Callithrix jacchus: one gene and its partner. The protein of the gene in region 2 binds, or shares a complex with, the protein of the main gene of each other region. Links are inferred from orthologs where the notes say so. Each region holds a gene or a part of one and is shown on either strand. Other genes may lie near its edges.

Region 1 (8,078 bases), on a different chromosome or scaffold from region 2:
TACTAAAAATACAAAAATGAGCCAGGCATGGCAGTGCATACCTGTAATCCCAGCTACTCAGGAGGCTGAGGCAGGAGAATCACTTGAACCCAGGAGGTGGAGGCTGCAGTGAGCCAAGATCACACCATTGCACTCCAGCCTGGGAAACAAGAGTGAAACTCTTGTCTCCAAAAAAAAAACCAGAAAGGTTTTCTGAAGCAGCTCCTCCCCCAGTACTCACTTCCCCTTTGCGCAGCGCTCCATTTTCAAGCTGAGGATTCCTTCCTAGAGAACCAGCCCTTGCCGCTCTTAGACCCTGCCTCCCAGCTTCCTCTGTATTGGAGACTCTTGGTTCATCTCTTTACTTGAATGCCACCTCCCCTCCCACCCTGACCCCCACCTTCCCATCTCCCCCTCCAACCTGGCCTCAGCCCTAATCCTACAAACTATTGAGCAGGCCTGGGAAAGCCTTAGCTCAGCCTCTCCAGGGCCAGACTTGGCTGCCAAAGGCACCCATGTGGTATGCGGAGCAGGGACAGGTCTTGGTGTTCCCAGCCCCAGGGACTTCAGATGCTACTGGCCCCCTCCCCTCAGCCTGGCCCCGAGCCCAGGGGTAGTACTCACCTTGAAGACCTTTGGTGGCAAAGTGCAGGTCGATGGGGTGGGACCAGTAGGCCATTTCCCCTATCTGGGGGGTGTCCACCTGCGTCTGGCCCTCCCGCACACCTGATAGGAGCTTCCACGCTGCCCCTGCAATGAGAGCCAGGACACAGAGGGGTGGGAGGCAGCCTATGGGAAGGGGATGCTGCCGTGGCTACAGGACTGTGTATCTCTGTGGCATCTGCTCGTAGGGCTTACGAAGCATGAACTCTGGAGCCAAATATCTGGGTTCAAATCCTGGCATTACTTCTTCCTGCCTGTGCAACCTTAGGCAAGTTACCTTTCTCTGCCTTAGTCTTCGCATCTGTAAAATGCGTGAGTAATAATGCAATCCTCATTGTCTTCACTTGTTTTCTTTTTTTTTTTTTTGAGGCAGAATCTCGCTCTGTTACCAGGCTGGAGTGCAGTGGCACAAACTCGGCTCACTGCAACCTCCACCTCCCAGGTTCAAGTGATTCTCCTGCCTCAGCCTCCCGAGTAGCTGGGACTATAGGCACACACCACACACCCAGCTAATTTTTGCATTTTTAGTAGAGATGGCGTTTCACTTTGTTGGCCAGAATGGTCTCGATCTCCTGACCTCGTGTTCCGCCCGCCTTGGCCTCCCAAAGTGCTGGGATTACAGGAGTGAGCCACCACACCCAGCCTACCGCACCCCGCCTGTTTTCTGTTACTCGTAACATAATATCCAAAACTGGGTAATTTATAAAGAAAAGGAATTTCTATCTCACAATTATGGGAGATTGACTGAGGTGGAGGGGTCCCATCTGGTAAGAGCCTTCTTGCTGGGGGGACTCTCCGAAGATTCCCAAGGCTAGTGTGTCAACATGCCACTCAGGTTTCTCTTTCTCATTTTATACAAAGCCACCAGTTCCTCTCCCATGATAACGAAGTCATCCATTAACCCATTAATCCATGAACAGATTCATCCATTCATGGGGGTTCTGAAGGGATGAATCACCTCTTAAAGGCCCTACCTCTTAATACTGCCACATTGGGGATTCAACTCATTCAACGTGCGTTTTGGAGGGAACACACATTCAAACCACAGCACTCATAGTTTGGTGAGACAATTAAGTGAATTAATATAAAGCCCTTGGAACACTGCAGGGGGCATGGTGAATGTGGGATAAGGCTTCAATATCATCTTTTTTTTTTTTTTTTTTTTGAGACGGAGTTTTGCTCTCGTTACCCAGGCTAGAGTGCAATGGCGTGATCTCGGCTCACCGCAACCTCCGCCTCCTGGGTTCAGGCAATTCTCCTGCCTCAGCCTCCTGAGTAGCTGGGATTACAGGCACACGCCACCATGCCCAGCTAATTTTTTGTATTTTTAGTAGAGACGGGGTTTCACCATGTTGACCAGGATGGTCCCGATCTCTTGACCTTGTGATCCACCCACCTTGGCTTCCCAAAGTGCTGGGATTACAGGCGTGAGCCACCACACCCGGCCCTCAATATCATCTTACTATTCTCACCCCACATTCACAAGCCTAGTCCAAGGATACCCTCCAGAAGCACATCCTAAGCACATGTAACAATTTAGATGCTACTAAGGGGTGATGATAGTTAAAATGCACCGAGTGGCGGGGCGCGCTGGCTCATGCCTGTAATCTCAGCACTTTAGGAGCTCGAGGCAGGCAGACCATGAGGTCAGGAGTTTGAAACCAGCCTGACCAACATGGTGAAACCACGTCTCTACCAAAAATACAAAAATTAGCTGGGTGTGGCGGTGTGTGACTGTATTCCCAGCTACTCAGGAGGCGGAGGCAGGAGAATCGCTTGAACCCAGGCGGCAGAGGTTGCAGTGAGCCGAGATCATGCCATTGCACTCCAGTCTGGGCAACAGAGTAAAACTCTTGTCTCAAAAAAAGAAGTAGGAAAAAAAGAAAAATGCACTGAATACTTACCAAATTGTATATGCTCTGCTAAGCACTTTAGGCGATGCATTCCTTTAATCGACCCTATAGGATTCTTCATCCCCTCCTCACCCCCTAGTTTACAGACTCTCCACCATGGCCTAAATGGCCTGGCTCTTGCTCCCCTCCCGGAGTTCATCTCCCATCACTCTCCCCCGCCCTCATCACCCTCAGGCCTCACTGGTCCCACTTCTGTCTCCCCACCTCAGGGCCGTCGCACTTGCTGTTCCCCCTGCCTAGAAAGCTCTGCTCCTGGGTGTCCCCATCCCTAGCTTGTTTTCATCCTTCAGGGCTCAGCTCACATGCCACTTCCACAGAGGAGTACTCCCTGTCCCTCTTCTCCAAACACAGGTCCCTGTCACATCATTTTTTTCATCCTAGCACTTACCACTGTCTGTAATCACGGTGTTCCTTTTTTTTTTTTTTGAGAGTCTCACCCTGTCTCGAACTTCAAACTCCTGACCTCATGATCTGCCCGCATCAGCCTCCCAAAGTGCTGGGATTACAGGCATGAGCCACTGCGTCTGGCCTCTTTTTTTTTTAATTTGGAGACAAAGTCTCCCTCTGTGGAGTGCAGTGGCACAATCACAGCTCACTATGGCCTCAACCTCCCAGGCTCAAGCAATCCTCCCACCTCAACCTCCCAAGTTGTTGGGACCACAGGCATGTACCATCATGCCCTGCTACTTTTTTATTTTTTGTAGAGACAGGGGTTTCCCTATGTTGCCCAGGCTGGTCTCAAACTCCTGAGCTCAACTGATCCTTCTAACTCAGCCTCCCAAAGTTCTGGGATGGGGTGAGTCACCATGCCCAACTGCACTCATTTCTTTTATTTATTTATTTTTGAGAGAGTCTCGCTCCATCACCCAGGCTGGAGTGCAGAGGCAGGATCTCAGCTCACTGTAACCTCTGCTTTCCAGGTGCAAGTGATTCTCCTGCCTCAGCCTCCTGAGTAGCTGAAATTACAGGCACCAGCCACCATGACCAGGTAATTCTTCTGTATTTTTAGTAGAGACGGGGTTTTACCATGTTGGCCAGGCTGGTCTTGAACTTCTGACCTCAAGTGATCTGCCCACTTCAACCTCCCCTAGGCCAAGGTTGCATTAACAAGCAATAACTGGTTTTGAACCCAGGCAGTCTATGCTTTTAACCTCAACCCTGTGCTGCTTCTTAGCTGCTATCAGCTTCACTTTCAGACAAGGAAACTGAGGCTCAAAGAGGTCAAGTCCAAAGATCTCCAATTAATAGGTGGGGAGTCAGTATTTAAAACCAGATCTGGCAGTCCATGGACCTAACCATTACACTATACCATGACTCTACAGGGTCTCAGCTGGGGAAGCATGAAAAAAACGACTTACCTGGGGCATGATGACTCAGTAATCCCAGCACTTTGGGAGGCGGAGGTGGGTGGATTGCTTGGGCCCAGGAGTTCAAGACCAGCCTGGGCAACATAGCAAGTCCCTGTCTGTACAAAAAATAAAAATATTAGCCAGACTTGGTGGTGCATGCCTGTAGTTCGAGCTTCTCAGGAGGCTAAGGTGAGAGGATCACTAGAGCCCGAGAGTTGGAAGCTGCAGTGAGCTATAATCACACCACCTTCCTCCAGCTTGGGCGACAGAGAAAGAGCCTGTCTGTCCCCACTCCCCTCCAAAAAAAGACAAGAGCTTGAGACTCAGGTGGACAGGGTGTGGGCTGGGACTGGAGTACTCAGAGCTGATGGAAGATGAGGTTAAGACGCTACATTAAGGGGTCGAGGAAGGAGCGTGCAGCCTCTAGGCTAAGGGTCTTGGTGTGGAAATGAACCAGGCCCTGGGGGGGGATACCTGTGTGGATGCCCCACTTGCAGAAGAGGCTACTTTCCGAGAAACCGCTGGCCCCCATGATCTGCCCGATCACATGCACCTCAGCCATGGCCCTGGGAGTAAAAATATAATCACAACCCTGTGAGGTGAGTGTATTATCTCCATTTGATGGGGGAGGGGGGGGCGCCGAGGGAGCGGGGAACTGAGCCTCACCAGATAAACGGTAGTACTAGGATTCCAAGCTACCTTCGTCAAACCCCTGGGGCTGACGTCTTGGCCACAGATGCTAATTGGCAACGCAGGAAAGCCTGGAAAAAATGAGGGAACCCTTGTCTGGGGAGCCAGTATTTAATTCTGCAAAGTCTAAAATAACTTCTTTGGGTTCAATTCCGCTGAAGGCCCCGCCCACGAGCGCAAAATCCCCGCCTCCCCCGACCACCCCCCCCAGCTCCATAAGGCGCATGCGTTATGAGTTCATGGCCGCCTTAGCCCCGCCTCTAGGCATCGCGCATGCGTTATTCCTACCTTGGCGCCCTTAACGGTTAGGAGACGCGAACGCGGTAACGAGGTTTGTAGTTCGTGGGTTTGACTTGTCCTTTTCTCTGCGGGCGCCGACCGGGCTTGGCTCGCGCCTCTCCCAAGACCTTCCTGTCTGCGAGAGATGGAAGCCGCAATATTTCTGCGGTCGCGCTCGTCTTCGGTTCCCTGGTTGTTGCTGGGGCAACAGCAGGCTCCTCCCCTGGCTTTGTACCCGCCCTGCGCGCCACTGATTGGTGCTAGCCGTTCGGGGGTTGGGGGGGAGGGTGGGGTCGGGTGAAGCTATGATGGACATTTTCCTCTTCTCGCTCCGTTTTGGGAAAATAGCATCCCTCCAGCCGCGGCAAAGGATTCCGCCATTTTGGGCGTGGCGAGAAAGCTGCCATCTTGAGTGTGGCTGAGGAAGTTTGAGTGTAGTTTCTCCTAGCTATAGTCTTTACCAAAAAAGCTGATCCCTCACCGCTTCGTGCTCCGCCCACCCCTCCTTGCTCCAACCCACCTAAGAGCTCTCTATGGTCTGGGATCACAAATCAGAGACTTGAGCCAGGACCAAGGGGGAATTCCTTCTAGGACCTCTTGTACATCCCCTGCCTTGTAACTGGAAAACAAAGCAAAAAAAAATCCTCATTCTGAGAGTGGAGAAGTTGGGAAGTGGGTTCCATTTCCGTTTTAAGAGTTCCTCTAGGCTTCTCAAGGTCTGATAAGTCCAACGTCCTTCTCGGAACTACTACCTAGTTCACTGTTACTGCTTGATTCCGAGCAAGGAGCCGTTGGGATAGCGAGGAGAAATGAGGAACTTAGATCCCCTTATTTGCAGAAAATCCTCTTTCCTATTGATTTTTCAATAAAGAAATGGAGATGTTATGCCTGGATGCCATCCTAGATGCCATCCTAGATGCCATCATTTCCCGCATCCAGCCAGTCATCAGGTCCCATCAAAGGGTCTCTGTCACCCAAGCTGGAGTACGGTGGCTCCATCACAGCTCACTGCAACCTCTTAACTTCTGAGTTCAAGGGGTCCTCCTGCCTCAGCCTCCCAGTAGCTGGGATCACAGACATACGCAATCACAGCTGGCTAATTCTTTTTTATTTTTTTTTAAGAGAGGGAGTCTTGCCGGGCACGGTGGCTCAGGCCTGTAATCCCAGCTAGTCGGGAGGCTGAGGCAGGAGAATTGCTTGAACCGGGACCCAGGAGGCAGAGGTTGCAGTGAGCCGAGATCGCGCCACTGCACTCCAGCCTGGGGTACAGAGCGAGACTCCGTCTCAAAAAAAAAACACAGATGGAGTCTTGCTGTGTTGCCCAGTCTTGTCTTGACCTCCTGGACTCTAGCAGTCCTCCCAGTTTGCCCTCCCAAACTGTTGGGATTACAGACTGAGCCACCCAGCCTGGCCAATAGATACAAGTATTTAAAAGCTACCATTGGCTAGGCGCAGTGGCTCATGCCTGTAATCTCAGCCCTTTTGAAGGCTGAGGCAAGAAGAGCTCTTGAGGCCAGAAGTTCAAATATAGCAAGACCCCATCCCTACAAAAATTAACGCGTATATCTGCTAGTGAAATAGTCCATTGAATTGTTTAATATAAATGTTATCCTATTGAAATGTTGCCCCTTCCTTATAATTTTGTTTTTGTTGTTGTTGTTTGGGTATTTTTTTTTTTTTTTTTTGAGGCAGACTCTCCCGCTGTCACCCAGGCTGGAGTGCAATGGCGTAATTTCAGCTCACTGCAATCTCTACCTAACAGGTTCAAGCGATTCTTCTGTCTCAGCCTCCTGAGTAGCTGGGATTACAGGTGCCCACCACTATGCCTGGCTAATGTTTGTATTTTCAGTAGAGATGGAATTTCACCATGTTGACCAGGCTCCTCTTGAACTCCTGGCCTTGTGATTTGTCTGCCTCAGCCTCCCAAAGTGCTGGGATTACGGGCATCAGACACCTTTCTCGGCCCCAGCGACTTATTGTATTTTTTTTGAGACAGAGTCTTGCTCTGTTGCCCAAGCTGGAGTGAGCCACTGCACCCAGCTGAAATTTCACTTTTAAATGATGTTTCTTTCCTTTAAGCTGGAGCTGGGGAAACAAACAAACAAAAGATCTTGGCCAGAAGTGGTGGCTCACGCCTATAATCCCAGCACTTTGGGAGGCCTAGGTGGGCGGATCATGAGGTCAGCAGTTCGAGACAAGCCTGGCCAAAATGGTGAAACCCTGTCTCTACTGAAAATACAAAAATTAGCTGGGCGTGGTGGTATGCACCTGTAATCCCAGCTACTCGGAGGCTGAGGCAGGAGAATTGCTTGAAGCTGAGAGGCGGAGTTTTCGCTGAACTGAGATTGAGCCATTACACTCCAGCCTGGGCAACAAGAGAGAAACTCCGTCTCAAAATAAAAAAAAAAGAGAATGAAAGAAATACATCCTAAATCCCCCCACTTCTCTTCTCACCTCTATCTCACCCAGTACCTTCATCTGTCCAAGTTCATCTCTCACCTGGACTATGACAGGAACCTTGTCTCTGGGACCCCCTTCCCCAGCCCACCTAGTCTGTATCCTGCATGCAGCTGGGACCCTGTGAACAGCTAAGTCAGGTCCCATCTGCTCAGACCCCTCCAGTGGTCCCCATTTCACTCAGGGCAGAAGCCAAAGTCTTCCCACGTATCCCAAGGCTCTGCACAACGTGGCTTACACCTCCTACCTAATTTTTGTATTTTTAGTAGAGATGGGGTTTCACCATGTTGGCCAGGCTGGTCTCAAACTGCTGACCTCAGGTGATCCGCTCACCTTGGCCTTCCAAAGTGCTGGGATTATAGGCACGAGCCACCGGGCCTGGCTGGGGTCTTCATTCCGAAGGCTCCCATGTATCCATGTTAAATAAAAGAAAAAAAATTATTGTCCACCATAAATAATGAGATTCAGAAAATCTGATTAAGGCCAGGTTCACTGGTTCATGCCTGTAATCCCAGCACTTTGGGAGGCTGAGGCAGGTGAAGGTCAGGGATTCCAGACCAGCCTGGCCGACATATAGTGAAAGCCTATCTCTACTAAAAAATACAAAAACTAGCTTGGGCGTGCTGACACACGCCTGTAATCTCAGCTACTTTGGAAGCTGAGGCAGGAGAATCACTTGAACCTGGGAGGTGGCGGTTGTGGTGAGCAGAGATTGCCCCACTGCACTCCAGCCTGGATGACAGAGCAA
Region 2 (7,485 bases):
AGTTCAAGACCAGTCAGGAGACATAAGGAGACCTCATCTCTACTAAAATTTAAAAAATTAGCCAGGTGTGGTGGTACCCATATGTGGTTCCAGCTATTCAGGAGGCTGAGACAGGAGGATTGCTTGAGCCTGTAGGCGAAGAATGCAGTGAGCCTGATCACACCGCTGCATTCTAGCCTGGGCAACAGAGGGAGACCCTGTCTCAAAAAAAAAAAAAAGTAAATGGTAAATACTGGTCTCACCAGATATTCCTGGGAAGATGCAGGAAGTGTGTGGGTCATGGGGTAGGGGATAAAGGGGAAAGAGCCAAACCTTTGTCTTCTTTGATGGAAAATTCAATAAAAAATTCTTAAGACCAAAAAATCAAGAAGTAGCATTATATGTAGGTTATTTCAAGATTTGGGGGTAGATTTTGAAAAAAATAGCTACAAGAGTTGAAAATGGTTGCCTCCAAAGGAGGGCAAATGAGGGTAAGAACTGTGTTCATAACAAGCCATGCAGTGCTATTTGATATTTTACATTATGTACCTATTTAATAATAAGATAAATGAAAAACAGGTTATATTCAGGCTTCCTCTCACTGGTTTTGATGCGCTGTGTATATTAAAATTCAGAAACATAAAAGACTTTCCGGGGAAATATTTTTGCTACAAACTCAAATGCTGAACAATCTTAAAAATGAAACACATAGGCCAGGCACAGTGGCTCACACCTGGAATCCCAGCACTTTGGGAGGCCAAAGCAGGTGGATAACCTGAGGTCAGGAGTTCGAGACCAGCCTGGCCAACATGGTGAAACCCCGTCTCTACTAAAAATACAAAAATTAGCCAGCCATGGTGGTGGGCACCTGTAATCCCGGCTGGCGATTACCAGGAGGCAGAGGTTGCAGTGAGCCAAAATTGTGCCACTGCACTCCAGTCTGGGTGACAGAACAAGACCCCATCTCTAAAAAAAAAAAAAAAAAGGCCAGGCAAGGTGGCTTACACCTGTAATCCCAGCACTTTGAGAGGCAGAGGCGGGCAGATCACCTGAGGTTAGGAGTTTGAGACCAGTTTCAACATGGTGAAACCCCATCTCAACTAAAAAGACAAAAATTAGCCAGGCATGATGGCAGGTGCCTGTAACCTCAGCTACTTGGGAGGCTGAGGTGAGAGAATCACTTGAACCCGGGAGGCGGAGGTTGCAGTGAGCAGAGATCACACCATTGAACTCCAGCCTGGGCAACAAAGCGAGACTCCATCTCAAAAAAAAAAAAAAAAGAAACATACAAAGCCTTGAAATTTCTGCTTTGCCATATTTGATAATGAAAATGACTGTGATAGTTTTGCTACTATTCATGAATGATGATATACTACATGTGCAGCTTGCAGATGAGCTCATCAGTTGATGCAGAGATTTGATTAAAATGGGGAAAAGTAAGAATGCCCTGTTTTCTGATCAACACAAACATGTTCAAATAGAAGCCAGCGACTCTCTTACCTTAGTTTACAGCCAGATTGCATAGCGTAACCAAATAATACTGGGGTCCGGACCCCCTCCAGTGCTAAGCAGTCTTGCTCAGTTGTGCTATGAAGAATAGTAAGCTGTCCATATCTATTTGTGATCTGAATAATTCCAGACATTCACAGACAGTTAAGGGACAACTACCTAGTGCTAGAGCAGCCTGGTTCTCAGGTAAGAAGACGTTGTCGTTTGTGTGACATGAGACATGAAGGAGACCTACATACCCTTTTTCTGGGCCTCTGGGATTTTGACAGCTATTTCCCAGGAGTGAGCAAAAAAAATAGCTCTATTTTCCTTACTAAGTAGATTCTCAGAAGAAAAATTCTCAGAAACTGGCCCTTCGAAATTCTAAATTTTCAAAATCACTAAATTTGTTTAGGAGTGTCTGTTTAAATGTGAAATTAAAAACGTTTAAATGTCAACTTTTCTCTCTTAAGATTTTCGTTGTAAAACACTGACATATTTTGTAGCTTAATGGCAGGCTGGGAAAAGAAAACGAGATTTACAATAAAAACACCACTGACATTTTCCTAGGACATGCTATCTCACCCCCAACTGCCAGTCTCTCCCTAGCCCACCTGCTGTGTAGCCAGACTGGCCGCCCACCTTCCTGCCTGCAGGAAGCTCGCCGGGGCTGCTCTCTCCATCCCACAAGCAGCCCAGGGGAGCCTCAGTGAGAAAGAGCAGTGCAGCCCACACACATGGAGACAGGAATAAATTCACCCTCTACAGAACCAAAAAGGATATCCCTTATGAGGCTGGAATCCAGCAGCTAACGGGAGCCCCATGACATAACCAGGGTTTCCACTGAGAGGGACCGGCTTGGTATTTTCCTGAAAGGCAATGCAGAAATGCCTCCAAATAATTCTCATTTCAATAAGGAAATAGCAGGGAGACAAATGGTTTTTTTTATAATAAAATCTGGAATTACCCACCAATAAAAGTATTTCTCCCTCCCTACTCAGAACTATAAATACATCTGCCAGGTGTAGGAGTATATCATACTGTAAAAGAACAAGCTAACGTGGAAGGGAATCTATTCCCAAAAGGGAAAAAGATACAAGGAGGATGCTTGGTTTCACTGCAAACACCACAGGCTACACAAAGCCCTCTGTGCACTACAAAGGCTTGGGTGTAATACTCAGAAATTCATTTTTATCCACTAAGAAGTCATTTTTTTTTAACTTGACAATTAAATATTTATGCCAGCTTGATCAACCTTACCTGAAGAAAATGAATTTCAAACTTTTGCTGCAGTGGAACCATTACACTGCTAACTGTCCCCAGAAGTAAAGAGAGATCGGCTTTGATGACTTCACCTGCATCTGTGTATGTGAGGCTGTATTTTACCTAAAAACAAAACAATCCTCCAAATATACCTGTTCCATGACATTTCAGTAACTTTATGAATAACTCAAATAAAACACCCATAGGCAGCAAATCTTTCCCCATTTCTCCATGTGTTGAAGCTTTGCTCTGCTGTCCAGTTGGATTATGAGAAGTGGTTCCCTCAGCACCACCCTTAGCAGACAGGGTCATCTGAGCCACACTGTGCCCAATTACAGAAGTTCCATGTAAGCTGGTCTAAGCAGAATGTAATAAGTCCATCTCTGCAGAGGAAACATGTTAAAACAAAAACAGCAACGACAACAACATTTTGATGTATTCCTGCAAGTCACTAGGTTTGTGGAGACAAGAGGCATCTTTTGATGAGAGAACAAAAAGGCAAGCAGGCAGCCAAGCCAGGAAAAGCCAAATCACAGGCCAGGACAGAGCGCCCTCGGAGGGCATCCAGTTACCCCAGTGGAACATGAGGCTTGAGTCCGTCACAGACAAGCTCTCAAAGCCAAATTCGGCACCTACCTCAAGCACAACATTCATGCAAAGGCTAAAGTGTCCAGCGTTGACGAGAGCCGGCTGCAGCACATCAGTGTCTTCCCGACGGGTGAGCGTTTTATTTAGAGACTGAATGACAACGGACTGAACAGTGATAGGTACCTGCAGAGTGAAGACCTGGAGTACTGAAGATGCTTTATCCAGGGAGAAAGAGCTAAAATCACAACCAACTGGAAACAACCCTTCCCTGATATACGGCCAAGTGGAGGGAAGCATGCTACACGATAGTGTGTATACCATGATCCCACATTTGCGAAAGTAGGTATTTGTAGGTAAAAACATACATACATTCACAAAGAAAATACTTGAGAAGATATAACCAAAACTTTAAAAGCAGTTGCCTCTGAAAACATAAAGTTTACACAAAAACTTGTACACAAATGTTCACAGCTGCACTATCATAATAGCTAAAACCGAAAACGACTTAAATGTCCATCAACTGATGAATGGATAAGTACAAAGCCTAGCCTTACAAAGGAATATGTCTCATCCACAAAAACAGTACTAATACACGCCACGGTATAGATGAGTCTTGACAACATGCTAAGTCACAGAAGCCAGACACGAAAGGCCACACATCTAATGCCACTTATATGGAATGTCCAAATAGGCAAACCCATAGCGATGAAAAGTAGATTAGTGGTTGCCAGGGGCTGGGGACAGAGCTGGGGAAGAATGAGGAGTGACTGCTAACACAGGGCTCCTTTTTGGGGTGACGGAAATGTTCTGCAATTAGTGGCGATGGTTGTACAACCTGTGACTATACTAAAAACCACAGAATTGCATACACACACACACACAACTCCATCACACTGTCAAGTGCATATATATATCCTCACCTCCAAACACAACTCCTACATACTCCATACCCACACATGCACATTCACACACAGTCCCAGGACACATATCCTTAAGCCTCCACATACCCCCGAATATTCATTTGACCCAATTTATACCCAACTTCTACACATACATACATGTGCGGGCGCGCGCGCGCACACACACACACACACACACACACACACACACACACACACACACAGTGGTTTCTCTGGGTGGTGGGATTATAAGCAAGAGAAAACAGAGACAGACAAATCTTTTCAGCAGCACCAGGAATCCCTGCTTATCCCAGTGCTATTAAAGGATATTTTGCATTCATGGCCACCGCCAGCAGAGTAACAAAGCATCAAGCCATCCTCTAAAGGTAGCTGGAAGCCGGGCGCAGTGGCTCAAGCCTGTAATCCCAGCACTTTGGGAGGCCGAGGCGGGTGGATCATGAGGTCAAGAGCTCGAGACCAGCTTGGTCAACATGGTGAGACCCCGTCTCTACTAAAAATACAAAAAAATAGCTGGGCATGGTGGCACGTGCCTGTAATCCTAGCTACTTGGGAGGCTGAGGCAGGAGAATTGCCTGAACCCAGGAGGCGGAGGTTGCAGTGAGCCGAGATCACGCCATTGCACTCCAACCTGGGTAACAAGAGCAAAACTCCGTCTCAAAAAAATAAATAAATAAAGGTAGCTGGGCCTCCTTGTACTATAGGATGAATCTGTCATTTGCTCTAAACTTCAATTCTTGGAAACCACTGTTGAGGAAGGAACCTCATGTATCTATTAACAGTTGTTTATACCACTTTGAACTTGTACTCAATCATGCACCATGCTGTTTATAATTCAAAATGACCAAGTATTTAGGCAGTCATTTTAGAGATAAATAAACAGTCCTTATGTGTCTGCTCCCATGACCAAGAAGACCTGAGAGTCAAACCCTCTCATAGAAGAACATAACATGGCCGGACACAGTGGCTCATTGTCTGTAATCCCAGCACTTTGGGAAGCAGAGGCAGGTGGATCATGAGGTCAAGAGATCAAGACCATCCTGGCCAACATGGTGAAACCCCATCTCTACTAAAAATACAAAAATTAGCTGGGCGTGGTGACACATCTGTAATCCCAGCTACTCAGGAGGCTGAGGCAGGAGAATTGCTTGAACCAGGGAGTTGGAGGTTGCAGTGAGCTGAGATCGCACCACTGCACTTCAGCCTGGTGATAAAGCAAGACTCCATCTCAAAAAAAAAAAAGAATGTGACATGACTCAGTAACAAAGACGTAAGCTGTCATGTGATGAGAGTGGCAGAAGGGCCTTGCCAGTCACCATGAAGTCCTCTGCATAACACACCACACCAAGAGGTTTCAGCATGGAGAAGGTCCTAGGCTGCGATTCAATTAGCTCTTGTTTAACACAAGGGCAACCCCGGGTTCCTTACTCTGAGCATAGTGGTTCTTGATTCAGCAATGACACTAGGTTCCAGGGTAGAGCATACCCTACCATACCAAGCTCTGCCAGAGCTACTTCTATGGTATGTGGGTGGAATTGGCAAAAATCGAAGGATTCCATGTCAAAGAGGTCTGGAAAGTCCTGGTGTCAATGGCAAGAGCTGCCCTCATCTCAACAGCTCACTCAATAGTCACGAGAAGGAAACGGTAGGGCCATGCTGATTTCCTTGATTCCTCTTCCATCACATCCCATCCCTAAACCACACACGAGTAAAGAACTCCAGAATACTCAACGAAACTACAGGGCTACCCTGGAATCTTTCGCTGATGGCTCCACAGAGACTGACAATGATTCCAGGCAATCATAACAGTCTTCACTTAGTGGCAAGATTAGACCCAATTTCTATACTCCTGATCCTCTAACCTTAAAATCTGCTTTTTAAGAAAATTTCAAACAAATCCCTACGATTAGTTTATATGCTTGTCCTTTAGAGCACAATCTTTGGTGTCACACAGACGTAAGTTGGAAGTCCAAGTTCCAATCTGCCATATCCTGTGTGGCCACAGGATGCAAAGAAGGAAGGTGTGTGAAGCCTGTCACGTGGGCTCACAGAGTAGAGCTGACCCAGCATGGTGGAAAAGTATAAGGTCCCTGGGGCCAGACCGCCTGGATCCCCGTCCCAGCTCTGCCACTTCCCAGCTGTGCAGCCGTGGGCAAGCTCATTCATCTCCCTGTGACTCATCTGCCAGAGAGTGACAGTAACTGAACCTACCTCCTAAGACTGCCAAAAGGATTTGAAGACATCAGACACATACAGCACTTAGAACAGTGCCTCCTGGACATTCATCACTAAATGCATAACTCACTGAGTGCCCAGTACATACTGGACGCTGCCTTAGAAATAAGGATATATCATGAATAAGGCTGATGGGCTGCTGCCCCCACAGATGGTTCCAGTTTTGAATGGTAGAATCCAAGCACTCTCTAGGGGTTGGAGGGAGGTGAGAGCTAGCCCATTGCATAACTTTCAGACTGCATTCCCGGGAGCCCTAGCGTTCTTCACTAGGAACAAAGAGGAGAGAGGAGGAGGCTGGGCAGGTGGAAGGCTTCAGGCCCCTTCCCTGCTCTAACCAGCACAGCTTCAGATTCAGTCTGTTATACTCTAGGGAGGTTTCTGCTTCAGACTGCATTTGAGAAAGGGTTTCTATAACTAAAACAAGTTTGAAAACACCTTCACAGAAGAGGGGATCCAGCCCCACACACCATCATGTGAGATCCAAAGTCACATGGAACCCTAGGGCTCCCAGGGATGCAGTCTGAAAGTTATGCAATAGGCTAGCTCTCACCTCCCTCCAACCCCTTTCAAACATTTCCCTCACACCCATTTGTGTCCAGAGCATCAATGAAGTCAATCACAACTGATGCGTCCCCATCCTGAGTGCGTCCCTTACACAGACTCCGCACCTGCACCTCGTGTGCTTCTCCCACTCGACCTTGCATCACGCCTCTGTGCAAATGCTTACCATCCACTTGACAAAGGGAGACCGTGGTGTCAGTCAGACAAGAAAATAATGGCAAAGCTGAGTTTTGAACCTAGGCTGGCCAGTTCCACAGGCTGGGGGACTATGACAAAGCCACAAACTCAGGCCTCCTTGGGGACTGTGTTCACAGGCAGGCCTAGGGCGCAGAGCCTAGATTAAGGGGTGAGGGATCCACATTCCTTCTGACATAGCCACGAAGAGACCTTGGCCTCCTGACCACAACCAGACAGATCCCTCAGCTGGGGTGATAAGGCCTTGAAAATAACCCAC

The links. The genes of interacting proteins can lie anywhere in the genome.
Region 1: TCTN1 (region 2) and B9D2 share a complex: the UniProt entries of both Homo sapiens proteins name them as parts of the tectonic-like complex. The link is inferred for Callithrix jacchus from reciprocal best matches to the Homo sapiens genes TCTN1 and B9D2.

The regions. Positions count from the first base shown.
Region 1 is NC_133523.1:36,639,394-36,647,471, forward strand, and holds the start of B9D2 (B9 domain-containing protein 2), read right to left. Parts: upstream 4,767-8,078; 5' UTR 4,571-4,766; intron 4,471-4,570; 5' UTR 4,467-4,470; coding exon of another isoform or gene 4,379-4,466; intron 4,021-4,378; 5' UTR 4,008-4,020; coding exon 3,914-4,007; intron 730-3,913; coding exon 604-729; intron 1-603. UniProt on the Homo sapiens protein: Component of the tectonic-like complex, a complex localized at the transition zone of primary cilia and acting as a barrier that prevents diffusion of transmembrane proteins between the cilia and plasma membranes.
Region 2 is NC_133510.1:113,536,789-113,544,273, reverse strand, and holds part of TCTN1 (tectonic-1), read right to left. Parts: intron 3,502-7,485; coding exon 3,367-3,501; intron 2,854-3,366; coding exon 2,728-2,853; intron 2,337-2,727; coding exon 2,251-2,336; intron 1,621-2,250; coding exon 1,480-1,620; intron 1-1,479. UniProt on the Homo sapiens protein: Component of the tectonic-like complex, a complex localized at the transition zone of primary cilia and acting as a barrier that prevents diffusion of transmembrane proteins between the cilia and plasma membranes.